Linked DNA regions of Elephas maximus indicus. The protein of the gene in region 1 interacts with the protein of each later gene in a biochemical or structural test. Links are inferred from orthologs where the notes say so. Each region holds a gene or a part of one and is shown on either strand. Other genes may lie near its edges.

Region 1 (7,330 bases):
TTTTTTAATAACAAATTCTATCATAATAATTTGCACATTTTTCCCTTCTTTTGGACTTCTCTGAAAGTGATTGATAGATTTTTTTGAATGTATTTGATTCACTTATTATGTATTTCTTTTTTTTATTATCGTGCTTTAGGTGGAAGTTTACAGCTCAAGTTAACTTCTCATGCAAATATACACACATTGTTTTGTGACATTGGATGCAATTCCTACAGTGTGACAGCACGCTTCCCTTTCCATCTGGGGTTCCCTGTTTCCATTGATCCAGTTCCTGTCCCTTCCTGTCTTCTTGTCCTGCTTTTGGACAGGATCTGCCCATTTGGTCTTGTGTATTTGATTGAACTAAGAAGCACACTCCTCACATGTATTAATTTTTGTTTTATAGGCCGGTCTAATCTTTATCTGAAAAGTGAGTTTCAAGAATGGTCTCAGTTCTGGGTTAGCAGAGCATCTGGGGGCCATAGTTTCAGGGGTTTTTCCAATCTCTGCCGCACCAGTGAAGTCTGGTCTTTTTACTTGAATGTGAATTCTGTTCTACATTTTTCTCCTGCTGTCTCTGGGGCTCTCTGTTATGATCCCTGACAAGGGAGTTGTTGGTGGTAAGCCGGTACCATCTAGTTCTTCTGATCTCAGGCTGGTTGAGTCTCTGGTTCATGTGGTCTTTCAGTCCTTTGGGCTAATATTGTTCTTGTGTCTTGGGTTTTCTTCATTCTTCTTCGCTCTGGGTGATTTTTTTTTTTTTTCAATACTTTTAAGTGTAGAAATTCCACTTGTTTCTTTTTTATAAACTATTTTTCTACTAAGATTCTCTATTTAAATATCTTTTCCTTTAATTCCTTGAAACATTTCCTTTTATTTTTAAAATAGCTGTTTTGAAGAGATTGTCTTCTAAATCTAATATTTGGGCCCACTCAAAGTCAATTTCTATTGATTTTTTTTTCCCCTGTAAGCGGGTGACACTTTCCTGTTTCTTTGCATGAATTCCTTTCTTTGTTGAAAATGTAATATTTTGTATATTTCGGCAACTCTAGATGCCATTTTATTTTTCTGAGCGTTTTGTTTTTTGCATCTCACCTAGAATTAAACTGCGGATCTGCCTTTCCAATGGGTTGTGATTCTTGTGTTTCTGCTCGGTTTATTGTTTTTAATATTTATTTTTGGTGTAAACATACACAGCAGATCATATATCCATTCAACAATTTCTACAACGGATAGTTCAATAACATTGGTTACATTTTTCATGTTGTAACACTATTCTTGCTATCTGTCCCCGTGTTTTTTCACTACCATTGACTTACACTCACTGCCCCATAGACCACTCATCTTGCTTTAGAGTTACTGTTGTTAATTTGGTCTGACACAGATCAATTCTTTAATCTTTTTTTTTATTCTGATTTTTATCTTTAACCTGGCTTTCTAGAGGTTACCCCATGTCTGCATGGCTGAGTGATCTGTCAATGAGCTGAGCAAAAGTTGTACTCAAACAACTTGAGCTTGTCTTCCTCCTTCTGTCAATTAATCTATGTGTGGATGGAGGAATGCATTCAAAATTACTACCAGTTCCCAAATCCGCCTTGGCTTTCACTTTTTTTTCAGTGGGTCTCTTGGGTTACTACCACACATGTACAGTTTCCCAGTCATTCAGAGATGTGTGGAGAACAGCGCTTCAATGACTCTTATTTCCAGTATCTCCCAGCTATATTTCTGCCTGGTTTGCCATTTACTCTACCTAGAACTGCAACTTTGGGGTAGCAAAGATATGAGTTTTCCCTGTTCATTTGCAACTGAGTTTGCTACCTTTAACTGGTAAAGCCATTTTTTTTTTTTTTTACCTTCTACCACAAATTGAGTCCATCTCCTCTGGCAGCAAAGCTGCTGGTTTTCTTGGGTAGCCTACTCATGCTGGTAGTATTTGTTCTTCTCAATGGAGCTGAGGCAACAATGGAGGATAGGAGCGGCCTTAGGCAAGTAGGCCATAGACTTCCACTGTTCCTATTTGAAGTTCTATCACTTTTTCTAGATGCCTCTAAAGTTGTCATCTATGTTTAGTTGACTTCCAGTGTTCTAAATGGTTGTTTTTGACAATTTTTTCCAGTTTTATACTTGTTTTGTGTACAGAGGAATTGCTGACCTGTCATGCTGTCGTAACTAAAGTCCCTTCCACAGATTCTTTTTATGTAGGTAGTAACCTATATTAGTCATGATCTTTCAGTGTCATAAGAGAAGTCCAACTCAATTAGTTAGGACTTTCAGAATTCTGAGTACAGAAAACCCAATACAGACTGGCTTGAACAATATAGAAAACTTATGGATCACAATTCACAAAAGGTATGATACTGCAGCTCTAATTATGCCATCAAGAACAAGGTTTTTCTTCATCTCCCCAGCACTCAATTAATAGTATTGATGTCATCCTGAGGCTTTACCGGTGCCTTCCTCCACTGGTGCCCTCCTCCGTAAGCCAGCATACCTCCAGGTTCCCCCCTTATAGGAAGAAAACAGTTACCATATTTCCAGACCTCATATACTCACATCATACCAGAAGTGTGAGGAAGCTGCATTTTACTAGAAGCCCAGTACAAGTTTCTGCAGAGCTCACTGGCCGTCTTTAAAACTCAGAGCTCTGCAGAGCTCACAGTTGCAAGAGGATATGGATATGCTGCATGGCTTAAATAGGTGAAACAAATGCCTGAGAGTCAACCAACAAATATCTTCTATGCCCACAAAAACTGGCCCTAAATAACGACAAATAAATGAATATACTGGCTCACCCAGCTAGACTCACATGCTCACAACCACTTAAGGATCAGCCTCTGAGACTGAAACTACAGTCATTATGCGGCCAGCTCTGCTTTCTCTCCTCTTCATTTCTCCTTTCTTTTCTGTTTCCGTCCTTTGGCCTCTTTTATTCTTACTGCAGACAGGCCTCTTTATGTTGCAGGGCATATGGCCATGAGCAAAACCTCAGCAGAACGCTTTTTTTTTCCCGTTCTCTGTCCATATAGCAATTTCAGGCAAGGGCTCCATAATGCCCAGCTTGGGTCAGTGCCTATCCTTTGGCCCAATGCATGTTGCCAAAGGCAAAGAGTATTATTGCAATTGGCACCATTGCATGCCCATCCCAGTGGTTAGAACAGATTGTTCTATTGCCAGAAGGGGCAATGAGAAAGCTTTTACACAGTCAGAAAAACAATGGCTACCCCATACCGTCTCAGTTCTAATTGTGGGAGACCTTTTGCTTGCCAGCCAGCACTTAACTACTGTGCCACCAGGCCTGAACTTTACTGGGTAGGAAATGCAGAGCGCAGGAGACAAATTTATCAGATTTTAGAAAAACTGCAGGATGGATTGCAGCGGTCATGTGGGGATGGAAGTGATTGTGAAGGACTATCTACCCCAAATCCTCTCTCTTCCCTAATAAACAGCCAAATTTTATAAAACAAGAACACTTCCAACAAACCAACCAACCCGGGTTTCCAGCCTTCAAGGAGCATCAGCAGAACAATTCTTTAAGCCTTGGAAGGACTTTCCTTAGCCCTCACTTCTGGAGTAATCCAGTTACTTCCACTCTTCCTCATGATTCAGTTGTTTGCGCGCTGAACATGTGTCTGGGCATTTCTAACTCAAGTATTGCTTTGTAAATGTGCCAAAGAGGGTGGTAGAAGACAGCAATTCCGCAGCCGGCCAAGAACCAAGGGCTGATCCTGTCAACACTCATTTCAGGAATTCCGCGGACGGTCCTTCCGTGGAAGTTTTACACCAGCCTTTTTTCCCCCACTGGCCCTCGCCGCTTCCTTTTTCCAAGGCCCTCAAGCAAGAGTTCCCACCGCAATAAAAGGTTCCGCACCCAGTCGGAAGCCAGGAAGACGCCCCACCCAGCGGCAGGCTGGGCCGGCCTCCCAGGCTCGTCTAACTGGTTAGGACGACTAAAGCAAGCCGGCACAAGATTGGAGCTTCGGTAGCTGAGGACACAGGCTGGTCAGAGCGTGGAGAGGAAAGCTATTTCCTTTCTCAAGACCATCACAAGAGCTGTCCCAAACGATCTTGGCTAATACGTTTATGGGGTAGGTGTTCGTCCCACCCAGTCCCCCAAGACCAGAACTGCGCAGGCGCCTGCACAATCCTAGCGCGGCGCGCACTCTCGCGCGCTCCCTCTGTCCCCGGAGCGAGCGCCTGGGCCGGAGGAAGCGCGGAGCTTCCTGGGTGTTGTAGTGTGCTCCTTCTACGAGCGGCCCCGTGAAGGCCCAGAGTGGGGCGTACGAGAACTACTTCTCCCGGCGTGCCTCGCGCGAGGGCACGGGGCGTTTGCCCTTGACGGCCTAAGCAGTCAGTCTACGGGCGACAGGAACCCGGGAAGCTGGCAGCGGCGGGAGGACTGAATGCGCGTGCGCATTGAGCCGGCTCGTCCTGTTTCGTCCCAGTCATTGTAAACAGGCGGAGGCTGGGCGGGGTGGGAATGGGGCTCCTGAGGCCGACCGGGGGCGCCGCGCAGGAGGCGGCTACGGTGGCTGCGACGGCAGCGTGAGCGCGGGGAGGCGGCGGCTGCGGCAGCAGGCACAGGTCAGTCGCGTGGAGTGGTGGTGTGCCGGATCGCCACGATGCCCCTCGCCTGCCCGAGGACCCGTCTCCGGCGCCGGCCTCGCACCGAGTCTGTCAGGCAGCGTGCTGGGCTCGGCGCTCGCCGCACTCCGTTTTGGAGTTGGGGGTTGGGGGGCGTGGCTGCCCTAATATTGATTCATACTGGGCAAGGTTCGTCCCCATTTCTTGCTGGCTTGGTAACCGTCCCCCCAACTTGCGGGGCGGGCCTACCCTAACGGCATCTGCATTTGTGATTTGGTGCTCCCGGGGTCTGTAGAAGAGTTAGGAACCAAGGACCCCCCTGATTCTCCAGGCCCCAGGAGAGCTCTTTAAGGCACACCTGAACGGAGGAGAGAGGACTCAGCCTTTTATATTATCATTAGTTTTTAGTCTTTTCCGAAATATTGACCTGTCTCCAGTGCATGCTGAGGGGACTAGAAAAAGGTTCTTAGTTTTTCCCAGCGCTGGCATTGAAGCACTGGGGGTCCGTTGGGGACTTTGGTCCTTAGTTTGGGTTTTACTGGGAAAGGACTGGCAGCTCTAGCGTTGAGGATGCTTTTCACAACTGTTCTTCAAATATGTTTTTCAAATATGCTTGTGCCAAAATGCTCTTAATTGAGGTCAGCTTTTTTTTTTTTTTTTTTTTATCCTGTAGTCTTGCGAGCGAAACAGGTTTTATAAAATATTGCACACCTCAGGCTTACCTGAGGTAATTAAGCTGTTTCAAGCTTTGGGATTCACTACTGCAGAGTAGCCCTCTTGAGCAAGCAGCATGTGTCCTCTAAGGCCTAGTAGAGTTCTTGAATATTGTTAAATTTCCAGTTGGAGTTATTTTGAAGGTATGTAAAAGAAGTACTGCAGTAGGTGCATTGACTTCAGTACCGATAAGAAAAGCTTTCACTAAACTTTTTGTTCAGTGGAGTGGGCGTGTTCTAATGGTGCAATACTTTGGATTGCATTCCATCATACTCGAGCAGTTATTCGCAAAGTATTTAAGTGGCGATAAGGAATAGGCCAGAGTACCTGGGTTGCACAAATGGTTAAGTGCTCAACTGCTACCTGGAAGGTTAGCACTTCAAACCCACCCAAAGGCGCCTCTGAAGACAGGCCTGGTGATCTGCTTCTGAAAGGTCACAGCCTTGAAAACCCTGTGGAGCACAGCTCCACTCTGCACACGTGCAGTCACCATGAGTCGTCATTGACTCCACAGCAGCTACCAACAAGGAATGGTTTGGTGCTCCCCATGGCAGCACATCTGAATGAGTGGGACTGCGAATGGGAAAGGTCACTTCACATTCTCCTTTTAGAATTATCAGGGCGACTTGATAATTCCTTTCTGAGTACCTGCCTGAACAGGAGTAATTAATGTGAGCTATAATAGTATTGGCAGTAGTAGGGGTAGGGAGGAAGTCAGTAGTGTAGTTCCCACTTTTCAGAGTGACCCACAGATCCAAGTCAGATAGGCTTTAGCAGTAGCTGTTGGAAAGTAATTCCTTAAATAATGTGTCTTGAAACAAAGTAACATTATAATTTAATTTGCTATCTCATCAACATGCTGTTTCTCATTATAGATCTTGCAGGGGCCATATCTCTTCTAATTTAGGAAGGTAGATGCGGCATCAGAAATGCACGTTAATTTGTACAGTTGTGTTTGTACAGTTGTTTGTTTAGCGAGGAGAGATTGGGTCCAGAATATAACCTGAAAATATGTTTTCTTTTTTGAAAGAAAATGCCTGGTAGAAGCTTGTGTTAGTATATGCAAGAGGGGACAAGGCGAAATGCACATCATTAGTATAAAGAGGAATTATGTAGCAGGTACTTTGCCAGATGAAGAGTTCTTCAAGATGGATAAGGCAGTGTCCCTGCCTTCAGAGTGATAAGACTCTCTTACTTGAACTGTCAACAAATGTAATACATTTTAAAGATTACATTGATTAGAAAAAGTATAGGGGTCCAGTGGGTGTAAAAGGAAGTAGTGATCAATTTCTGAAAGGCAGAGAAAGGGATTGAGGAAGGAGGGGGTGGTAAGGAAAAACTAGATCTAGTGGGTGATGAAAACAAGTGTAAACCAAAAAAACCAAACCCGTTGCCGTCGAGTCGATTCCGACTCGTAGAGACCCTATAGAACAGAGTAGTACTGCCGCAGAGAGTTTCCACGGAGTGCCTGGTGGATTCAAACTGCCGACCTTTTGGTTAGCAGCCACAGCACTTAACCACTATGTCGCTAGGGTATGTAGGCATAAAAAAGATGGACAATTTGGTGGATGGAACAGTGAGCAAAAGCATGGGAGTCTAAAATTACATGGGGAGTTGTAGGATCTGCAAGTAGTTTGTATAGTTGGCTAGAGTACAGGGTGGTGGCAAGACATGAAACTGGGGAGGTAGGCAGAGACCAGACTATGGATGGTCTCGTATGCCATTGAAGTAATTGCAACTTTATCTTGTAGGCACACAGGAGTCATTGAGAAAGGACAAAGAAGGGACACCTAAACCAGCTGAATCCATTTTTAACTCCCTGCTGAGTCCCTGGGTGGTACAAAGGGTACAAAGTATTCTGCTGCTAACTGAAAGATTCACGGTTTGAATCTACCCAGAGGTACCTCAGAAGAAGGACCTGGCAATCTATTTTGGAAATGTCATAGCCATTGAAAACCCTATGGAGCACAGTTCTACTCTGAAACACATGGGTTGCCATGAATTGGAATTGACTGGACATCAACTGATTTGGTTTTGTTCATGTGTCAGGCAC
Region 2 (7,958 bases), on another chromosome or scaffold:
ATCAGTATCTTGGCTCAATCAGAATCACCGTTTCCTCAGCATTCCAGGATTAACTGCAATATCCGTGCTCATACTTGCGAATCCAGGTAGGCAATCAACATATGAGAACTATTATTACTAGGAGAGTTGTTGAATTAAAGGGAAATCTGACCTGTGTACAGTGGTTATGTTGCTGAGATAAAAGAATTGCACTGTTTCCTTAAATTAAAAAAAAAAAACAAAAAACCATTACTGTCACGTGGATTCTGACTATAGCGACCCTTTAAGACAGAGTAGAACTACCCCATGGAGTTTCCAAGGAGCACCTGGTAGATTCGAACTGCTGACCTTTTGATTAGCAGCCACAGCACTTAACCACTATGTCACCAGGGTTTTCAGTGTCTCCTTAGTGTCTAAGAATTTTATAAAACAAGCATAAACTACTTCCCTTCTTTTTCAAAATCATAATCCTTTTCCTCATTAACATTCACAGCCTCTTATTCCAGTATTTTAAAAGTGATTATCCTTGCCACATACCAACTCAGGAATATAAGTGCATATTATGCGAATATACACATTTACAAGAAGAGATAAACTGGTTTATTTATGTTTTGTGGAAGCTGAACTTGGAAAACCAGTACAGGATCACCACCAGATAGTTGGAGGAAAGAAGACATCAGCAGTTTTTAAAATCCAACCGTCTACAGACAAAAATCTTCTCTCACAAATAGTAAGCAAAATTCTCTCCCATAATAACCCATTAAAACTCCCGTAATAAACCATCAGAATAAAGTGCTACACTGAAAAACTATTTCAAACAAGTGATATAGATGACGCATGCTAAGCAGATACACTATGGAACGGCATATGGATCTCTGAAAAGAAAAGTCAATGTAGCTATTCATAAACTATGCCAAGGTCATATTAGAATGTCAGAAGATTTCATGCATCCACAGGAAGAACCAGCCACTCTAAGCAATTCTGTGATACATCATGTTTTCCAAGCAGTGGTAACTCCCAATTTCCTCTTTAAGATAGGGTATGGTTATCAACTCAAAACAAGAAGTTATATAAATCTCTTTCCTGATAACCCCGGACAAACATCCTCAAGTAGTAAGCATTTAACACTGGAATATAAATTTTATTATAACATCCCCTCATAATCTCCCAAATATAATTTTAACCTTTCAGAGAAGGATAGATAAAGTTTTAGCAGACAAGAGAGTCTTCTTGAATTGTTCTTTGACCCTGCTGAAGAACAAAAAGAAAAGCAAAGTCTTATGTACAAGAAATTGGAACAATAACAAAAAAAATCTAACCAAACAAAAATAAATGACTCCTGGAAAGCCACTGTGAGACCACCTACTCATTCATTCATTCATTCAGTAAAGAAATGTATGAGTAGCTTCTAAGTTCTAGGCACACCACATGGACACACAGCAATAAGACATGGCTTCTGTCTTGAAGAAACTGAAGGTCCAAAAATAATGTTTTAAGAGTCGCAAAAGTTATTTTATAACAATTCTGTATTAGTAGTGTCAGAAAAATATAAGCTAATAAAATATATTTAAATACTTTAATAAGCATAAGGCAAAAGGAATGCCTTCTACTGTGAGTTTACTGAGATTCATTATCGATTTTTGGAACATGATTCAAGTTGTAATTTGCTTTTAGCAAAAGATTAACTTATGACACGTTCTGTTAAGAAGAACGCCAAATTTGTTCTTATACATTAATGCAACTCTCTTCAAAGGATGGTTTGCTTTTAAGTGTAACATACAAACTCAGTTTTTAAAGGAGGAGAGAAAGAAACTAAAAAAAAACTAGAAAGCCTTTGCATCACAGAAAATTAAAAAAAAAAAAAAAAAAGCATTTCCCTAGAGAAGTTTTTCCCTCCCACACCAAATATAATTTGTAAATTAGGTGCTTTTCAGCTCGACAAGTAGGGTGTGGCACTGGAGCTCTCACACTATCTCAATGACACTTGGATGAGCTCTCACAAGTCTGGACATTCAGGTTTCCCAGCAAAGGCCAGTTAACTCCCTAATTCTCCCTAAATCTTAAAACAACACTGCCACCTCTGCGCCGTCATCCCTGCCCACTTACACACATGTACCCTGGCTAAAGCATACAGTTCACGTCTTCCACATCTGGAAATCCTTTAAGAACGAACGGAGAATAAATCTCTACAACCGAAAATATCTACACTCTCTGCTTCCTCGTTTCATAGCTTAGATTACCCGAATACGGGTTAAACCTGTGCAAGAGCTCAGGATCTGCTATTCAGTTCAGTGCGGAGCGTCTAATAACTTCAGGCTGAAAAAGCCATTCCTTTAACTGGCACAAAACACCGGCAGAGATGCTTAAAAAGCAACCGCTTTCGCAAAGGAGTGGAAAGAAAGGGAAGGGAGGGGGTGGAGGAAGGCGCGGGGACTGCGGCGGAGGGTCCCCCCAGTTCACCGGCACCGCCCGGGGACCTCGGCGTGGCGGAGCGGGGACGGCCCAGAGATGCGGGGTGACCTTCCGGCGAGACTAACTCGGACGTGCTACCGGGCGCGGGGGACCTCGCCGCAGCCGCCAGCTCTCGGGGGCGCAATCGCCCGCACAGCCGCGAACGCGGCGCCCGGGATTCCAGCCCGGGCTCGTCCCCCAGGCAGAACGCGGGATGTGCAATCTCGGCAGCCGGGCCCTGCGCCTGGGCCTCGGCCCGCCGCCGCCCGGACACACCCCCGCCGCCGTTCTGTCGGCCCAAGCCGCTCCCGGGGCGCCCAAGGCGGGCATCACTCACCTGCACCGCGAGCCGGTCCGCCGCCCCACGGGCTTCGGAAGCCGCGGCTGCACTGACTCCGGCCGGAGAGTGCTTCGCCCTTGTCCTCAGAAAGGCACCGCGCCGGGGAGCGGCTGAAGAGGAGTCAGACGGGCGGCGGCGGATCCTGGGCGGCGGGAGGAAAAAGAGGAGGAGGATTCCCGGCGCTCAGCTCTCGGGAGATCCACCCTCCTCCTGGCCGCTCTGCAGCAGCCGCCGCAGATCACTTCCGGGGCGCCGGAAAGCGGGCGGGGCCGGCCGGGGAGTAACTTCCCGTCCGCGAGCGGCGAGTAGGGCGGACACCGGCCAGGGCTGAAGAACAATGGTCGGGATAGTGAGGGCTAGCGGGGACCCGCCCCCTGGGTCCCTAGACCTGTCTGCGCCGCGTTTCGGGCGGCCGCACCTCGGCTCTGCGTCCCGCGAGGTGAAATCACCTCCCGGGGGCCCGGGCGTGGCCGCCAGGCTCGCGGAGATTCCCGGATCTGGGCGTCGGCGCCGCGACGTCCTTGCCTCGTCTCTTTCCTGGGGACCAGGAGGGGGTTCTTGGGGGAAGGAGGGGAGAGCTGAGTCCGCCATCTTGCTTTTACTGGGGCAGCCCCTTCTCCCGAGTCGTATTAGGGTGGAGACCACCCGGGTCCTGTGGCCAGGGTTTCCTAGAGTGCAGCCGGCAACGTGGCTGGATGCGGGCCGAACCCTAAGAGGTGGGTTGGGTCAGTCGCTTGCCCGGGTTGGGGGGTCCCGTTGGCTGCTGCGGGCCTCATGCTTAACTGCTGACCCTTGAAGAACTCGCCTCCGCAGGTGGCCAGGGAGCCCTTTCTGAGTGGCTCAGGGACCCTCCTGGACACAGCGGTCTGGAGCTTGGTGTGGCACTGAGATCAGCCTGCAGCCCCACGGCACTTTGATTTGGGAACTGAAGTTAGAAGCGGTTCCTTTTTAAATTCCACCACAGATGCTAAATAGATCTGTTTGCATAACATCTGTTGGGAGCTACACATTGTTATCTCGCGACGTTCATTCTCTTATCTCTCCTCTCCCCCCCACCCCCAAAAAAGTTACGGGTACCAGCTATGTGCAGGGCATGACTTAATCTTTGCTCTCAAGGAATGCCCAGCCCAGCCTAGTGGGCGGACAGATATGAAAGCAAATAATTATGATTGGAAGCACGGATATCAAGGTATACAGAGGAAGGAATGGATGAGTTTACTGACTTTGGCTTAGAGTTTGAAAGATAAATAGGAATTTTTCAGGCACAAAAATAGGGGATGGAATGGCAAATCGGAATTGGAATAGAAAGAACTTGCAGCATGTACACAGGTACAGAGACAAGAAATAATGTGTGCCGAGAGGAATGAGGAGTATTTACAGGATTTAAAGTTCAAGCCTGAGTTGCTGAAGAAGATGAAACTGGAGAAGCAGACAGAAACCAAGAATGAACTTTCATGCCATGGTTAAGCAGTGAGGAACTCCTAAAGGATTCAAGTAGAGGAATGCCTCTGAACAGATTTAGGATTTAAGCTATCCTGTTGGTGGAGGACAGATTAATTGGGGGGGGGGGGTGAAGGTGGGGAGGAAGGTGGAGGGAGCAGAAAAATGAGTTTAGTTTTGGAGGTGGTGAGTTTGAAGTATCCGTGGTGCTATACTATGGCAGTTGCTCTATGGGCCTAGAGTTCTAGGGAGGATCTGGGCTACTGTTACCACGTCAAAGCAGATCATGCATCTCACGTCCTTGAACACGGTTTCAAAACCATTTTTTTCTCTCTACCTTAACTTGGGAAAATTGCTGAAATATTACATTAAAAAAAAAAAAAAAGTTTCCACCAGAAGAACTGGATTATGCCCAGTAACCGTTACTGACAGTTCTAATCGGAGCCACAATAGGTGGACCCTGATAGAATGGGGGAAAAATGTGAAACAGAAGAACCTCAAATTCATTTACAAAAAAACAATCGGATCAACTGGACTGGTTGAGAATGGAGGACTCCCCAGGAATGCTGCCCTGAGATACTCTGAAACTAACTCCTGAAGTAACCTTGTAGCTATATAATGAATTGGCTCAAAAATAATATCACCCATCAGTACTGTGCTCCTTTAAAAAGTCACCTATATGAGCCCAAACGGTCAACAATTATTTTAAAACAAAGATGAGAATGTAAGGGGGTAGGGAAACTAGATTACTGGAAATGGAACAGCCAGGACAAAAGTAATGAGAATGTCCACGTATTGTAAAGAATGTCACTGAACAACTTGTACAGAAGCTGTTGAATGGGAACCTAAACTGCTGTGTAAACCTTCACTGAAAACACAACAATGTATCATTAAGAAAAAAAAAAAATTCCCAAGGGATGGTATGTGCTGTCTGTAGGCCAAGAGTCAGATACTTGATTGTCTTCAAAGGACTGTAAAGGTCAGTATTACCAGAAACTGAATATGACATTGGTAACTGGTATAACGTAGTAAACTCATACAATGAAGTATTATCTCTGTTGATATTTTAATAATAAAAATTGGTTTATTTCATCGGTGAGATAATTTAGTTAGACTGGCTATGGGCCAAGGATTGAGAATAGTGAGTTATACAGATAATTTGAGTGGAAAACTAGAGGAGGATGAGTTCAAGAAGAGTGAGCAATGGGAACACAATGAAAGGCAACTTCAGATTCATTAGTCAGCCTGTCTCAGCTGCTCCTCGGCTGTTCACAGCTATGCTAACCTAGCATAAAGCAGTATGAAATAGAATGGTTCTTTTTGAGCAGAAGCTTCAGAAAGCCACAAATAGCAAAAGGCCTGTAAGGTGGCAAACCAAAGACTACTTATTAGTTTTTACTTTATACCCCTGTATAGCAACATTTTTTGACACAAAAATGAGGAACTCTTTCATCAACTTTTAGTTGTTGATTATTCAAATATATTATTCTAATTTTTCCTAGAATAGAAATATATTTAAGTGTATTAAATGACCATGTAATGGGTAATGTATTAAACTGTAAACGAGAAGAATTAACTCACAGTCTCTTTTTCGTTACTTAATCACTATATAACCCTAGCAAAGTCACTTAACCTCTCTATGCCCTAGATTCTCTGGCTGTAAAACAGAGATAATAATAACTTTCTACTAGCTGGCCCCTCAGAGGTATTAAAAGAAATAACAAATTAATGCTTTAAAAGCTCTTTGAGGTACTTGGATGAAAGGTTATAATTGTAAGCACATATTATTAATAATAGCACTAATATCCAGCAGAACTCATAGGCATTTCTAAATTTGCTATGTGGACACCTCGGAGAACATGAAGGATTCTGCTTTAAAATATGCTTTTATATATATATATATATACATATATGTATATAAAAAAGCATATTTTAAATTTGACTCATGGGTTTAATTTCTATTTTTATCATGCCTTGTGTATAAACAATTATGGTATGTTAGTAAAAGAGTAAAAAGACATTTTAGTGATGTAAGCTCACTGCTAATTATAGCTACTGTCTACTTTGGGGGAAGTACAAGGCAGGTATGATTTTGTCATTACTCGTATCCCTGTAGAACCACACAGAATTTACATTCAGTTACATGTTTTCTTGTGAATCATCTGTCGTGCCCATCACTGTTTAGTTGGAAAAACTGTGAAGTTTGTCCAATGTTTATTCCGAAGGTAAATGAAATTTTTCTCATTACTTTGATAGTTTCATTCTTTTTTGAAAGGTTATGCATATGAAATTGGTTTGTGCTTGACTACTAACCACCCAGCTGCACCACAGAAGAAAGGCCTGGCGATCTGCTTCCATAAAGATTTCAGCCAAGACACCCCTGTTGAGTACAGTTCTACTCAGTAACACATGAGGTCACCATGAGTCGGAATTGACTCCATGGGAACAGATTTGATTTTGGTTTTATGCGTATATAAATCCATTTAAATATATTTATGGTTATATAGTGTATATATTTTTATGCACATGCTTATATACTAATTTATAAAAAATATGAGTGTACATTAACTTTACATAGATATGGATATATATAAAACCATTGCTGTTGAGTAGATTCCAACTCACAGCAACCCTATAGGATAGAGTAGAACTGCCCCATAGGGTTTCCAAGGAGTGCCTGGTAGATTTGAACTGCTGACCTTTTCGTTAGCAGCCATAGCTCTTAACTACTACGCCACCAGGGCTTCCACTTTCAATGTAATAACTTTAAAAAAAAAGCCTCATAGGTGTATTCACAGCAAATGAAGTGCAGCAGTGGGCACATGCTAATGGAATTCACTGGTCTTACCAAGTTCCTCTGGAGCCCTGGTGGCACAGTGGTTAAGAGCTCGGCTGCTAACCAAAAGGTCATCAGTTTCAAATCCACCAGCTGCTCCTTGGAAACCTTACAGGACAGTTTTACTCTGTACTATAGGGTCACAATGAGTCAGAGCCAACTCAACGGCAACAGGTTTGGTTTTTTCAAAGTGTATATATTCATGTGTAAAGAGAGGGATTTATCTCAAGGAAACAGCTCATGTGGCTGTAGAGGCTGGCAAGTCCCAAGTTCTTGGATCAGGTGTCAGGCGGGAGGCTTTTCCTGGCTCATGTAGCTGCAGGGGCTGATGAACCCAAGATTGGCAGGGCAGATGGCAGGGCAGATGGCAGGCCACTAGCTCACAGGCTACAGAGGCTGACGAATCCAAGACTGGCAGGTAAGATAGCAGGCTGCTGGATCACAGGCTCTGGAGACCAACAAATCCCAAGAGCTGCGGGCAATAGGACACGTTGCTGGCTCAAGTCTCAAGAGCCAGAGGTTAGATGATGATGAACTGGGTGCAGGCTCCAGAGCAAGCAAGTGAGCTTTGCCAGAACATCCATATATATATTGGATGCAGGCCACAACCATGAGGAGACTCCCGTTACAACTAGTTGGCTGATCACATCGGCTCATGTGGAGGATAACTACATCATTACTGTCTTAGTCATCCAGTGCTACCATAACAGAAATACCACAAGTGGATGGCTTTAACAAAGAGAAATTTATTTCCTCACAGTAAAGTAGGCTAAACGTTCAAATTTAGGGAGTCAGCTTCAGGGGGAGGCTTCCTCTCTATGTTGGATCTGAAGGAAGGCCCTTGTCCTCAATCTTGCCCTGGTCAAGGAGCGTCTCAGGCACAGGGACCCCAGGTCCAAAGGACATGCTCTG
Region 3 (7,079 bases), on another chromosome or scaffold:
ATGGGGAAACGGGGCTTTTATGTGATGTGGGCAGCAAGATGGTGGACGCACAGGTGTACTGGAGAGGGAAATTCTAAAAGGTAGCCAGGAAATAGGAGGTGATATGGTTATTCATTCCACCTGTTGCTGCATCCTCCACCGAGGTCAATTATCCATCACCGCTGGCTCTTCTGCACGTGCGGGGCAGGCCAAATTTGGCTCGGGCTAGTTTAAGGATAGGCATTCACAAGGTCGGGTTACACCACTTCACACCTACCAGACTAGCAAAAATTAGAAAGACCAATAACCCAATTATTAGTGAGGATGTGAGCAGTGGGAACTCTCAGATAGTGAGTATGTAAATAGGTACGATCATCTTGGAAAGCGTTTGGTATTATACGCTAGTGTCTGAACTTGTCTAAATCCATGAGTGATAACCAGGATCAGCACAAAGGAGATTCCTATGAGGTAGAGGTCAGACATACCTCTACTCTCCAATTTTTTCACCATTTCTTACGCCAGCCATTCTCCCCACAGCACTCATAGACTCATAGTGGCCCTAAAGGGCAGAGTATAACTGCCCCATATGGTTTCCAAGGAGTGCCTGGTGGATTTGAACTGCTGACCTTTTTGGTTAGCCGCCGTAGTTCTTAACCACTATGCCACCAGGTTTTCCACCCTTACTCCCAGGCAAGGCTTATTTCTTCCTACTTTGGTCTGTTCTGCATTTTTGCTTTTTGCCTTTATTACTGTAGGTATCATACCATGTGTGTCCCAGTTATCTAATGCTGCTATAACAGAAATACCACAAGTGGATTGCTTTAACAAAGAGAAATTTATTTTCTCACAGTTTATGAGGCTTGAAGTCCAAATCTAGGTACTGGCTCTAGGGAAAGGCTTTCTGTCAGCTCTGGAGGAAGGTCCTTGTCTCTTCAGCTTCTGTTTCCTGGTTCCTTGGTGATCTTCATATGGCTTGGCATCTATCTTCCCCCATCTTTGCTTGCTTACTCTGCTTCTTTTACACTTTGTAAAAGAGTGAGTCAAGATACGCCATACACTAATCCTGCCTTATTAACATAACAAAGACAACCCATTCCCAAATGTCATAATAACCACAGGCATAAAAACCAAACCCACTGCCTTTGCATGGATTCTAACTCATACAGACCCTATGGGACTGCCCATAGGGTTTTCAAGGAGTGGATACCAAAAAAATTAAACCCGTTGCCGTTGAGTCGATTCCAACTCATAGTGGCCCTACAGGACAGAGTAGAACTGCCCCATGGGGTTTCCAAGGAGTGCCTGGTGGATTCCAACGGCCAACCTTTTGGTTAGCAGCCGTAGCACTTAACACTACGCCACCAGCATTTCCAAGGAGCGGGTGGTAGCCCAGAATATATGATCTTGTATTTCACCTCCATCTCCATCCAGCTGTTTGAACAAGTAACATGTTGTTGTTGGTTGCCTTGCTGAATCAGTTCCAACTCATAGTGATCAGATCTTCTAGAATCACCTCCTGTGTTCTTTTCACCATTCCATATTAATTTCAGTGTTGGCAAACAAGGGGCCTTCTGGCTACATCTGCCCCTTGTCTTGTTTTGTTCGTTTAACACAGTAGCTTTAGTTGAGCTTGTTTTTCAATCTGAATTTGAATGCCTTTATATTGGACGTCCACTTTCCAATCCTCCAGGGTTCCTACCAATTCCTGTTGTCTAATTCCAGGTTAGGCGCCCTGGTGGTGCAGTGGTTAATTGCTTGGCTGCTACCCAAAGGTCACTGGTTGGAACCAACCATAGGATCCACAGTAGAAAAGACCTATTTCCTCCTGTAAAGATCACAGCCTAGAACACCCCATGGGGCAGTCCTACTGTGTCATAGAGGGCCGCTAGGAGTAGGAATTGACCCGGCACACAACAGCAACAATTCCAGGTTGTTTCACAGTTTAAAGTCACCTTCCTGGCCCTTAAGGCTTTTGAGTTTTGACCCCTCTCCATTAAGCACACTTTGGAATGTCCTATCCCCCAAATCAGGAGGGCTGGGCTGAAGTTACAGCTAGGTCATCTACCAGTCACACTGTAATGGTAAACTTAAAAAAAAGATGTAATTTTCCAAGTTGCCGAAAGGGAAAGACAACTTTCCCCTCTCTCTTTCTTAAGGACAACTCTTTGAAATGTAAACATCGAGGAATGTAATGCCCTACCTCCCCTCAGGTGGGAATTAGCCTAGGTGCCCTATCCCAAACTGTAAGTACCGCTTGCCATACAGATATTGTTAGGTGTTCTTGAGTCTGTTCGGACTCATAGTGACCCTATGTACAAGAGAACAAAACATTGCCTGGTTGTGAGCCCTCCTCATGATCGTTGTTATGCTCGAGCCCATTGTTGCAGCCACTGTGTCAACCACTTAGTCGAAGGTCTTCTTCCTCTTTTCCACTGACCCTCTACTTTACCAAGCATGATGTCTTTCTCTCGGGACTGATCCCTCCTGATAACATGTCCAAAGCATGTGAGATGATGCCTCACCATCCTCACTTCTAAGGAGCATTCTGTCTGTACTTCTTCCCAAACAGATTTGTTCTGTTGGAAGCCCAAGGTATATTTGATATTCTCCACCAACATCATAATTAAAAGGCGTCAATTCTTCTTCAGTCTTCCTTGTTCATTGTCCAGCTTTCGCATGCATATGAGGTGACTGAAAACAATCACCCTGTTTTCAGGCACACTTCAGTCTTTGAGGTGACATCTTTGTTTTTTAACACTTTAATGATGTTTTTTGCAGTAGATTTGTCCAATGCAATGAGTTGTCTGATTTCACTGCTGCTTCCATGGGTGTTGATTGTGGATCCAGGTAAAATGAAGTCTTTGACAACTTCAATCTTTTCTCCATTTATTATGATGTTGCTTATTGCTCCAGTTGTAAGAATTTTTGTTTTCCTTATGTTGAGGTGTAATCCATATTGAAGACTGTGGTCTTCGATCTTCATCAGTAAGTGCTTCAAGTCCTCTTCACTTTCAGCAAGGAAGATTGTGTCATCTGCATAACGCAGGTTGTTAATGAGTCTTCCTCCAATCCTGAGACCCCATCTTCTTCATATAGTCCAGATTCTTGGATTATTTGCTCAGAATAAAGAATGACTAAATATGAGGAAAGGATATAACCCTGACACACACCTTTCCTTACTTTAAACTACGCAGTATCCTCTTGTTCTGTTCGAACAACTGCCTCTTGATCTATGCACAGGTTCCTCATGAGCACAATTAAGTGTTCTGGAATTCCCATTCTTTGCAATGTTATCCATAATTTGTTATGATCCACACAGTCGAATGCCTTTGCAGGGTCGATAAAACACAGGTAAACATCTTTCTGGTATTCTCCGTTTTCTGCCAGGATCCATCTGAAATCAGCAATGATATCCCTGGTTCCATGACCTCTTCTGATGTGGCTTGAATTTCTGGCAGATCCCTGTTGATGAACTGCTGTAACCGCTTTTGAATGATCTTCAGCAAAACTTCACTTGTGTATGATATTGTTTTATTGTCATACAGATAGAGAAGTTTTATTTTTCCTTTGGATAAGGACAATTAACTAACACAAACGGCCACTCCAAGTGTGAACTACTAAAGAATGTATAACAACTGGTGCTGTCAGGTCCTCTTACATGAGAACACGCATGTAATGGATGGTATCTGCTTGGCTATGAAAAAGGGTGAGATTTCTTTCTGTCTTTGCAATCTCAATAGCAGGGCCTGTGATGCCCATTGCAGGCTGATTTAATGTTTACTGAACAATAAAGTTCTTTTTTTCCCCCTACATTTGAGGAGAGGACTTCCGGGGTATGCAGGAGATTTTATTTTTAATTTTTCCTCAACAATATCAATTTACTAATGCCTCCTACCTTTTTTTTTTTCCTACCTTTATTTAGTCTGCCTCCCCCACGCTTTCAACCAGTTAATTAGGATCGTAATGTGCTCTCCCCTCACCCCACATTTTGCTGCAAGGACCAGGTGAGAAAACGGAACATGTCGGCTGCGGGAACCACGACTCCCAGCATTCCTAGCGCTCCTAGCTCTCGCGGTATCCGCTTCCGATCTGGAGGCTGCTGAAACCGAAAGTGCTGGGCTAAGGAATTGAGATTGATTCACCTTCATCTGAGTAGTTTTAGCCCACCCAGGTGGGAAGCCTGGAGAGCACTAAAACATGAACGGAAGAGTGGATTATTTGGTCACTGAGGAAGAGATCAATCTTACCAGAGGACCCTCAGGTATGTGCTAAACGGCTCCTCCCTGGTAGTAGGGGACATGAAGGTGTGATTGCAGAGCAGACAGTTCTGTCAAGCCAGATTCACTTAGCCTCGGAGCAGGCAGGCCCCAACCTTGACTTTTCCTGCAACTCTTGCAGGCACGTAGGAGGAACGTATTGACACCCGTTGTTGGCCAGACACGGGACTGAGACATCCAGCTCATCTGTCAGAGGCATTATCATACCTATTTATAGTCAGGAAAAGTTTCTTTCTGCTAATAGTGGCAGAAAAACAGAGAAAAAAAGCACACCCCGTTTTTAGCCGACATACCGTGGACACCACGCCCCTTTCCAATCCAGCATCTACCCCTGTTTCTATGACCGACCGTTTAGTAAAACGGGGGAGCGTGATCGGTATGGACTTCGAATGCGTAGTCATTTTCCTGGTGTTAGGCTCCTTCCTTATTTTCTTTTCTGTGTAATTCATTTTGGGTGTTAACGAGTATGTTAAACAGGAAGAGACTCTAGAGATCTTCTATTACAGCATGTCCCAAATCTGATTCCGCTCAGAATTACCCGGAGTTTTTTGTTTTTGCCGTTTCGTTTTTTTTTTTTTTTAAAGTAAAAATGGTAACTCCTATGCCCAAGTTCTAGCGATTTGGATTCATTGCAGACTTTTTTTTTTTTTTTTTTTTTAAAAAGCCTCACATGATTCTGCTGCAGCCAGATCCTCCCTTAACTAAAATAAATGAATTTGTTGACTGACGTCTTCTTGATTTTTCCCAAGCATTTTCATGTCTTTGTCATGTAAGTTAATGAACTTAAGAGCCTAGGACAATAGAGCCACAAACCTAGGATTGAACTTAGATAAAGAAGAGTCATTTGAAGTTTACTTAGGTTTTTTTTTTTTTTTTTTTAGTTTGGTTCAGTTAATTAGGAAGGGTTTCAAGTTCCTGTTTATCACTTCCCAGCACTGGTTACTTGGCATATGGGTACTCCTAAGAAGCCTAAGAGTCTAATTCAGTTTTTCTTCACTGTGTCATCGTGAAGATATGCAAGTGAGAAATCAGTTAGCACTTCTAGAAACTCCCAGGTAATTTTGGTAGTCGCACAGTGATCTTTCTTTCTATAGAAGAAATATGAAAAGCTTCTACTTCCAAATAGGCATTTCTGTTTGTAGGCAGCATTGTCACTCTTTGTACAGCTTCCTACGCAGGGACCTGATGGTTTAATCAGGTAACTGCAAGAGCGTGTATACCTTTGCCCTTTTGTTCCTGTGTTCGGTTAGGGGCAAGAGTTTGGGGTAGTTGCAGGATTTGGGTTCATATTTTGGGGGCATAAGAACCTATTCTGTTTGCCTCAAAGGAAATAATGAAATCTTGGGAAAATAATGACATTGAAGAGAGTGTCTGGGAGGCAAAAAGGAGCTTCGCATGTAGCTTGGCATCTCTCCTATGCCTGCTTCCTAAACTATGAAAGGAGAGACTTGGGCTAGATGACTTCTGAGGTCTCTTCTACCTCCAAGAGTTCGTAATTCTTTGGCCCATTCCACGTGCTGTTTTACGATACCTATCATTTTGGGCTAACTGTGGTTGATCTGAAGAATCCTGAAAGGCAACGGTTGTAATCTCAAATACATTCAGGGGTTGAACAGTTTACCTATTACCTTTTTTAGAACACTGTCTTATCTCCAGCTTGTTTATAGCCTCTGAGGTCCTTGGTCAAGGACTTACCAAAGGTTTAAAGCTAGTAAGTTTCAAGAGCCAGGATTTTTGTGTGTGTGTGTGTGTTTTAGATGAAAGTTTACAGCACAAATTAGTTTTTCATTCAAAAATTTTATGCACAAATTGTTTTGTGACTTTAGTTGCAGTCCCTGCAGTGTGTCAGCACTCTCCCTCTTTCCCTTTCCACACTGGGGTCTCAGAGTCCATTCATCCAGTTTTCTTGTCCCGTCCTGCCTTCTTGTCTTTGCTTTTGGGCAGGTGCTGCCATTTGGTCTTATATACTTGATTGAGCTAGGAAGCACCTTCCTCACATTTGTTATTGTTTGTTTTATAGGCCTGTCTAATCTTTGGCTGAAAGGTGGACTTCGGGAGTCGCTTCAGTTCTGAGTTAGCAGGGTGTCCAGGGGCCGTAGTCTGAGGGGTTCTTCCAGTCACCGTCAGACCAGTAAGTCTGGTCTTTTTTGTGAATTTGAATTTTGTTCTACATTTTTTCATCCTCTGCCTGGGACCCTCTATAGTGATCCCTGTCAGAGTGATCGGTGGTGGTCTAGTTCTTCTAGGCTTAGTCTGATGGAGACTGTGGTTCATGTGGTCAGTTAGTCCTTTGTACCAATATTTTCCTTGTGTATTTGGCTTTCTTCATTTTTTTTTTTTTGCTCCGGATGGAATGGGACCAATAGATGTATCTTAGATGGCTGCTTGCAAGCTTTCAGGACCCTAGATGCTACTCACCAAACTACAATGTAGAACATTTTATTTATGACCTATGTTATACCGGTTGACCTAGATGTCCCCCAAGACCATGGTCCCCAGTCCTCAGCCTCAGTAACTCAGTCCCTTAAGGTTTTTGGATGTGTCTGTGAAACTTCTATGACTTGACCTCGGTCAAGTTGTGCTGACTTCGCCTATATTGTACGTTGTCTTTCCCTTCACCAAAGTTAACACTTGTCTACTATCTAGTTAGTGATATCTCCTCCCTACCCTTCCCTCCCTGGTAACCATCAAAGATTGTTTCCATGGGTAAACCTTTTCTTGAGTTTTTATAATACAATACTTGTCATTTTGTGACTGACTTATTTCACTCAGCATAATGCCCTCCAGATTCATCCATGTTGTGAGCTGCTTCACAGGTTCATC
Region 4 (7,279 bases), on another chromosome or scaffold:
TATGTTATGCAAGTCTAAATATTTGGTCCCCTGAGTCAGTTCATCAGGGCTCAGGCATTTGACTTCCTGCAAGAGATCAGGAAGCGTTGGGGTGGGGGTAGCGTTAACTTCTGGGAAGCACCTCGGCAGAATAGCGCGCCTCATGTGCAGAAGCTGAACTGACTATGCCTCTCCGCATCCCCTAGGGCATTGGTGTGAAGCTGGAGACCCACTGCCCCAGGTGCTGCTGGGGGTTGTAGTCTGACCCAGCAGAGAGAAAGGCTCCAGGGAGGAGGGTGAAGGGCTCTCACCTCAGTCACATAATGCAGAATTGCCATGCGGGCCAGCTTCTCCTGAATCATCCCAAAGTTGTGAATTTTCTCCCCAAACTGAGTACGGTTAGTAGCATGATCCACCTGGAAAAGGGCACGTGGGTTACACGGTAGTTCTGCAGTTTCCCAGCAGAGGGGCTGGAGGGAGGGGCTTTGGCCACAGCCAAGGTCAGTCCCCACTGGATGAAAGCCTAAGCTAATAGTTCAGGAGCTGTTTGTGGGGAGGGTTTTGTGGTGGAGGGAGTGCCTGCAAGGGAGTCAGAGGGGACTGTGACTCAGAGTCAGGCTAGCTATAGGGTCGCTATGAGTTAGAATTAACTTGACAGCAACAGGATGGTTGTTGGATGGGGTCCCTATAAGTTGGAGTCGATGGCAACAGTAACAGGAGGGACTCAGGCAGGGTACTCACCACCTTAGCAATGATGCCCTTCATGGTGCCTGCAAGGGCTGCAGCCATGCCAAACCTTCCATTGTTGAGAATGTGCATGGCGACCTTGAAGCCGCCTCCCACCTCACCCAGCACGTTCTCCGATGGCACCCGCACCGCATCAAAGTACACCTCTGCTGTGTTCGAGGCTTTGATGCCCATCTTCTTCTCAGGGGGCCCACTGCGACAGGGCAGAGTAGAGAAGCAGAGTTGTGTTCAACAAGTTGCCAGCAGAGGAGGAAACTGCCCCTTCATGCCTTATGAACCAAGGAGGAACTACAAATCCCAGACTATGAGAGGATACAGGCCACAGTTCCTACGATGCCCAGAGGGCTATAAAGGCTGAGCTATAGAGGCCTGGCTATGTCTTGCTAGTGGGTTGGGCCCACTATTTGCTAGGAGTCCAAGCTTTAAATCGGTTTCATACATATTAGTCCCAACAGGAACATGCTGTCTGCTTTGGCTTTTGTATCCCCCCGCCCCGCCCCGCCCCTGCCAGGGTGACATGTAGCAACCATCTGCCCTGGTGCCCAGTACTGCCCCCTCCTTGGCCCTGCCTCTTCCTCCAACACTCACTGGGTAACACCCCCAAAGCTCTTCTCCACCACAAAAGCTGTGATCTTCTCTTTCGTGGTGCCCGTGGATGCATCTTTAACCGGTGTTTTGGCAAAGACTGTGAAGATTTCTGCCAGGCCCCCATTACTGTAGAAGAATGAGGGGGCAGTCAGGAGGACTGAGAACAGTGGGGCCTGGAATCGGGGAGAGGTGGAGAAAAGGAAGAAATGAGAGGAAAATTGCCTGATCCAAATCTTGCTTCCGTTGAGGGTATAATAACTTCCACAGGGGCTGGGTACAGCTGAGCTTCGGATGGAGGCTGCATCGGACCCGCTGGAGGGCTCCGTTAGACAGAAAGCGGCCATAGTCTCCCCTGTGAAGGGGAGAGAGCACCTTTACCATGGATCCTGATGGGCATCAAAGTCCCCCAACAGCCTGCACCCCTTAACACCTCCAGGAACATTTAGTTCCTTTGCATTTCCCCACCAGCACAGTGAGGCCGCCTGAGACGCTCCCAACCAACATGTCCAGGTGTCTGGTGATCTAAGTGCCAACCAGCCAAATCTGTGCCAAGCCCAGGACACCCCACTCCTTGTCTGTAGGACTGTCTCACCAGATGCCAGTTTGGGGAGGTATTTTTCTTTCTGGGCCTTCGTGCCAAAGAGCAGGATGCCTTTGAAACCGATGCTCTGATGAGCCCCGAGGGTGATGCCCACACCAAGGTCATGCGTGCCCACGATCTCCACCAAGCGGGCATACTGGAGGGAAGCAGGCGGTTGGGCTGTAACTGCCCGAAGACCTCCCCTTGGCAGGAGAGTAGAATGGAGCAGGGCCTGGCCTAGGTCATCCCCACAGTGTGGAAAGAGGGAAGTGGAACCATGGAAAGGGCACAGCAGAGGATATATCTGACCCAGGTATTGGTGGGTGGGCGGCTTCCTACCATTGTCAAGTGGTTGGTCTCCAGCTTAGAGATTCGTTAGGACTTGGGACCCGGGGTGAGGTCCACGGCCCTAGGGAACTGGATGTAATTTGTTTTTGGGGGGTGCCTATACAGTGGGGACAGTCAACATCCCACAGGCCCTAGACAGTTGCTTGGCAGAGACCCAGGGCCCAGAAAAGTGATGAATGCCCTGAAGCTGCCAAGCTGAAGTGGAATGGCATCCCGGGGAATGACAAGGGTACCCCTCACCTGGGTGTTGCAGAGGCCCACGCCACCCAGCTCACTGGGCACTTGCAGACCAAAGGCCCCCAGCTCCTTGAGGCCCTTCAAGGTGGTCTCCTCTACCCGCTCCAAAGCTTCATTCTTGGCAGGATCGTTCACCTCCTGGGACGACAGAAGACCCCACATCCAAGGTCTTTTTATGCCCTACTAGAGACCCAGGCCTCCACTCTCCAACCCCGATCATTCCTCACCTCGAAGAAACGGGACACGGGCCCCACCAGCTCTTTGAGAAACTGAGTCTGCTCCTCATTGAGCACTGCAGGGGGGGAAGAAAGCTGGCGGGGTGAGGCTGCAGACAGGGAAGGCTGCCCTGCCTCCGCCCGGCTTTGATGACTCCTGCCCTTACCAGATGGGTATGGGAACACTTGATTGGTGGTGAGCTGGCCCTTAAACATCCCTGCAGCAAAGGACTTAGATTCCTGGGCAGGGAGAAGGCAGTTCAGGGAGGTGGCTGGGGAGGGGAAGGGTGTCTGCCCCAGCTCAGTTCCTCCCGACTTAGGGGCCACATACCACCTTGGCCTGGCTTTCCTTGGTGGAGGCATCAGAGGAGAGGGAATCTGACTGGTCCACAGCCGTCTAGAGAAAAATGGTTATCGAGGACGTGGACAGGGACTTCGGTGTGCCAAGGAGAGCACGGGGCCCGCTGGGTGCGGAAAAGGGTAGATCCCGCGACCTTTCCCCTAGTTTCATCTACAGGGCACCCTGGCCTGGCCTTTCCCCTATTTTCGGTGCCAGACTGGGTGGCAGGTGACTGGCACGAAGAGGGGGACCCCTGCCGGTGGCAGGGAGGTGGGCCCCCACTCCCACACCCCTCGTCCCAATGCCTCCATCGCTTACCTGAGCAGCCCCACTGACATAAGCTCGCTGGGTCGGACCGGGCCGGGGCTGCCCCAAGAGCGCGCTGGGCCGCGAGCTGTGGGGAGCAGGGGTTCAGTCCCGGTCCAGTCCCCGGGACTGACGTCCCCCGTCCCACCAGATGGACACAGACCTGCCACCCCTGAATCGCAGCAGCTGTCGCCCCACGCTCGAAGCCATCTCAGTCCCCTGCACCTCGGCGCCGCACAGTCCTCAGCTGCCTGGAGCGCCGGCTGACTCCTCGCTTTCGCCCCGCCTCCCAAGGTCCGCCCCACCCCTTGACTTCGTCTCAAAATGCACCGGGAGGCGGACGGGAGGGGTTTCCGGGCCCCAGGGCATGCTGGGGCTGCAGTTCCGCAGCGCCCCCCAGCTCCTGCGGTCTGTTTGACCTGGAGCAGTTCCAAGTATCCGTTGCCTTCCCCAGACTCCTTCTTCCTTTCTGTCTGAGCTAGGGTCTGCTGCTCTGCCCTGCCCTGATGAGATAGGGTGGGAGAGAAGAGGGAGGAACTTAGGCGACTGCATCCAGAGAGATGGAAGGTAGACTGAGGCAGGACTTCCAGGAGGAGTTAGAAGGGAGAGATGAGGAAAGAGTTGTGTAAGATGAACGCCAGAAGCAAGGAGGTTGGCTCTTTAAAGGTCTCTTGTGAAATCTGTCTCTTTCCATCAAAACAAAAGGGAAGAAAATGGCAGGTGAGGGACTGAACTGGAGGTGTGAATGTCCCGAACATATATCCTCCTTAGACCTAGAAGGTGTCACTAACTCTTGAAACACCTAAAACTTCACAGTAGAAAGGACCCTCTGGGCTCACTGCTTCCTGTTTAGGGCCGCTGAGACTTTGTAATCATATCTCTGTCTGTCTGCTCTCTGGCCCTTCCAGAGACCATTGCATCCAGGCTAGACCTCTAGGCAGATACATGTGTCCCAGGCCTGAGAGCAACTGTGGAAGTTCTGGAGTCTTCCTTTCTCCCATGCTTCTCCAGCCCTGGGTCAAGAAGTTCCTGATAATTTATAGCCCTCTTCCCACAATTCCCGCTGGGGACAGGCCCAGGAGGGGAAAGAGCTGGGCTCTGCTTCCTTTCCTTTGTGCTGCGGCAGCCTCCTTTTAGGGAAGACCCTTTTTCCAAGACCCTCAGGAAAGTGTAGCTAAACTATTATGGTTATGGGAAGAGGGAGCCAGGGTGTTGGGGAATTTGCTGTGGTGGTGCCTGGGAACCTGGGGAAAGATGAAACAGCCAGCAGGTCAGGTCAGTTCGGAGATTACCTAACAGCTAAAACTGGGTCAGGAGAAGGCAGCTCAACTCCAATCTGGGGGGATTTGGGAGATTAAAGTGAGAGAAGAGAGATGTCGGAGAGACCAAGAGGTGAAAGACAGGGGTTCTTGTGGGGAGGCCCAGGGGGTGGCCTGGGGGCTGGGACTCTGGGATCCTTCTCCCCAGTCTTTCCTTGGGGTCTGGGGTGAAAGGGCAAAGGGTGGGGGAGATGAGGTGAGTGTTTGGCTCTGTCTCTGGGCTGGTCTCTTCCTTGCCCCAAGCCTCCCTCACTTGCGTTTTACCAGCTCCCAGGTCAGCTCTCTGGCTCCTGGCCCCTCCACTACTGTGGTGGGCACCCCCGCTCCTCACAGTGCTGCACAGTGATCTCTTTCAGGCCTTGCTGGGTGAGTAGCCCCAATATTCTGAGGGACAGAGGTGGAAGGGGCTGAGCATGGACTTCAGGGTTAGTTGGGAGCCCGGTGCAGGTCTTCCCGGCAGTGTTCTCCACCAGCGTTGATGAGCAAGATGATGGCACAGGTGGCCCGAGAATCCCAGAATGGAGGAGAGTAACTCAGTTCTGTTTCTGTCACAGACATCCTGGACTATTATGAGGCCTCCATCTCAGAGAGTCAGGTAAGGAGGTGAGTGGCTGGCTTCTTGAGGGAGTAGGCAGGGCTGAAGGGGTGAGGGAAGTATTGCTCATATTACACTGAAACTTGGGGTCCTGGGTGAGAAAATCCTGAGTCCAGGTCTAGGAGCTTGGGGACACTGAAAATGTACCTGCTCCCATTCTGTAGCCCTTTCTCTCTCTTGCTTCCCTGTTTTCTCTGCCTGCCCCAATTTCAGGCGCTAAAGAGTTCAGGGCATACATAGTTACCTTCCTCCTGGGAACCCTGAGGGCGAACCAGGCCCCCAGGGATTCTCCCCTGCCAGCCCCTCCTTCCCCCTCTACCTCCCACCATGGTCACCCGCCTGTATTTGAACAGTCGTGGGTGCTCCCAGCCAAACTCTAGGTGCTTCCTCCCCTAAGAAATGAAATCCCTCATCTTTGTCTTTGGTAGCTTCCCTGGTGGCTGCCAGGTCTCCTCATTTGCCTCAGGGCCTCTCTGCTTCTGCTTCTAGCTCCTTTCCCATTATCCGGGTTCCTGCCAGCACCGAAGGAGTTAACTCTGTCAAGGCACCCCCCCCCATTCTCGCTCTTCGCTCCCTCCCTCCCTCCCCCTGCTTCCTCTCTCCTCCTCTCTCCCTTTCCCTCCTCGGCTCCACGGCTCCCTCGGCCGCAGCCGCTTCCAACCCCCCCACCCCACTCCCCCGCCACGGCCCCTAGGCCCTGGCTATTAGGCAAGACTCCCCCAATCCCGGGGCTCCCTGAAATCCAGTTCCCCTCCCCCATCCCAGCTCATGCCCCAGCCCCCGAACCCCGGGGCTGCCAGCCCCCGCTGCCCCCGCCCCTCCTGAGAATCGGGGTGTGCTCCCCAAGCCCCTTCCCCTCCACTGGGGACCCCCTTTTAGGGCCCCCTTCCCCTCCCTCCCACGCTCCCCTACCCTTCCCTTCTCCGACCTCCTCTTCCCCCTCTCACCCCTCCCCCCATCCTGGCCCCCCCTGCAAAAGTGGGGTGCGGAGGGGGGAGGGGTGAGAACCCGCGGAGGGGAGGAACGAAACTCCGATGAAGTCAGAGCCCCTTACCCGCCGCCGCGGCCAGGCCCCCCAACATGGACTGTCTCTGTATAGTGACAACCAAGGTAAGCGTGATGGGGGGGGGCTATAAACTGGGGGAGGGTAACGAGTTTGTGGGGAGGGGTTAGATAGGCCTAATCTAGGGGTGGCGGCGCTGGAGTGGGAGCATCTGAAGTAAGATGAATTTCGGGATCATAATTTAGTTTTGGGGTTCATATATCAGAAAAAACTGGGTTTGGCCACAGGTGCTCTCTGGGGTGATCTCTTTGTACCTGTAGAGAAACGGAAAATTTAGGGTGTTGCATGGTTTTGGGAGGATCTGGTGGATTTGGGGGTTCACCATTGATGCTTGCAGGAGACTTATTTAAGGAGAAGCATGGCTCACATGGAGGCTTGTGGATGTTGGAAGGTGGGCTAGGTGTAGGGTGGCCCTCTTGCCTCCTGGGGACAAGCTGGCTTCCAGATGCCTTGTCCAATTTTGGGGGCTCCTGTGCGTGAGGCTAGATTATTGGTTGTGAGTTCCTGACTGGTCTGGGGGTGTCAGCTGGTAGGGAAGGGGTGGGCCTTCAGCCATAGAACAAGATACATTTGGGGATGCACCCTCAATTTGAGGGCACTATTAATTTTTGGATTTGATTATATGAAACGGGAATACCTGGGAGTTGTCAAGAGGACTGGGGCCTGGTAGGGGAATCACCTGAGGGAATGAATGGGAGGTTAGGATTTTGGTTACCCCCATGGGAGGCGGGTTACTGCAGCAGTGGTTGCCAGCTCCTGAGGAGGAAGATGAGAGGTTTGGGGAGAGAGGGGATTTAAGGAGGGAGACCAGGTGGGTGGTCTGAAATCTGGGGTGGCCCAGGCAGGTGCCCAGTATCCCCATCTCCTCCCACATTGCATCTACCTCTGGTCCAGAAAGAGGAAGAGCAGATGGAGGGGAATGTTCCTGCTACCCCTGACGCTTGGGATCAAGATGGGGGAGG

Evidence for each region.
Region 2: the proteins of RALBP1 (region 1) and RALA form a complex in vitro, tested with the Homo sapiens proteins (3 studies listed by BioGRID). The link is inferred for Elephas maximus indicus from reciprocal best matches to the Homo sapiens genes RALBP1 and RALA.
Region 3: the proteins of RALBP1 (region 1) and SYNJ2BP form a complex in vitro, tested with the Homo sapiens proteins (2 studies listed by BioGRID and IntAct, with this or other methods). The link is inferred for Elephas maximus indicus from reciprocal best matches to the Homo sapiens genes RALBP1 and SYNJ2BP.
Region 4: the proteins of RALBP1 (region 1) and DLG4 interact in a biophysical measurement, tested with the Homo sapiens proteins (2 studies listed by IntAct, with this or other methods). The link is inferred for Elephas maximus indicus from reciprocal best matches to the Homo sapiens genes RALBP1 and DLG4.

What each region holds. Positions count from the first base shown.
Region 1 is NC_064829.1:13,772,955-13,780,284, reverse strand, and holds the start of RALBP1 (ralA-binding protein 1), read left to right. Parts: upstream 1-4,324; 5' UTR 4,325-4,563; intron 4,564-7,330. UniProt on the Homo sapiens protein: Multifunctional protein that functions as a downstream effector of RALA and RALB. As a GTPase-activating protein/GAP can inactivate CDC42 and RAC1 by stimulating their GTPase activity.
Region 2 is NC_064826.1:101,842,158-101,850,115, reverse strand, and holds the start of RALA (ras-related protein Ral-A), read right to left. Parts: upstream 3,013-7,958; 5' UTR 2,768-3,012; intron 1-2,767. UniProt on the Homo sapiens protein: Multifunctional GTPase involved in a variety of cellular processes including gene expression, cell migration, cell proliferation, oncogenic transformation and membrane trafficking.
Region 3 is NC_064828.1:83,064,687-83,071,765, reverse strand, and holds the start of SYNJ2BP (synaptojanin-2-binding protein), read left to right. Parts: upstream 1-4,060; 5' UTR 4,061-4,176; coding exon 4,177-4,240; intron 4,241-7,079. UniProt on the Homo sapiens protein: Regulates endocytosis of activin type 2 receptor kinases through the Ral/RALBP1-dependent pathway and may be involved in suppression of activin-induced signal transduction.
Region 4 is NC_064837.1:13,634,196-13,641,474, forward strand, and holds the start of DLG4 (disks large homolog 4), read left to right. Parts: upstream 1-4,261; 5' UTR 4,262-4,524; coding exon 4,525-4,615; intron 4,616-4,926; coding exon 4,927-5,025; intron 5,026-5,213; coding exon 5,214-5,254; intron 5,255-5,923; exon of another isoform or gene 5,924-6,334; coding exon of another isoform or gene 6,335-6,364; intron 6,365-7,279. Other genes in the region: ACADVL (very long-chain specific acyl-CoA dehydrogenase, mitochondrial), read right to left, coding at 291-395, 721-919, 1,315-1,440, 1,537-1,666, 1,907-2,051, 2,483-2,617, 2,707-2,771, 2,862-2,934 and 3 more. UniProt on the Homo sapiens protein: Postsynaptic scaffolding protein that plays a critical role in synaptogenesis and synaptic plasticity by providing a platform for the postsynaptic clustering of crucial synaptic proteins.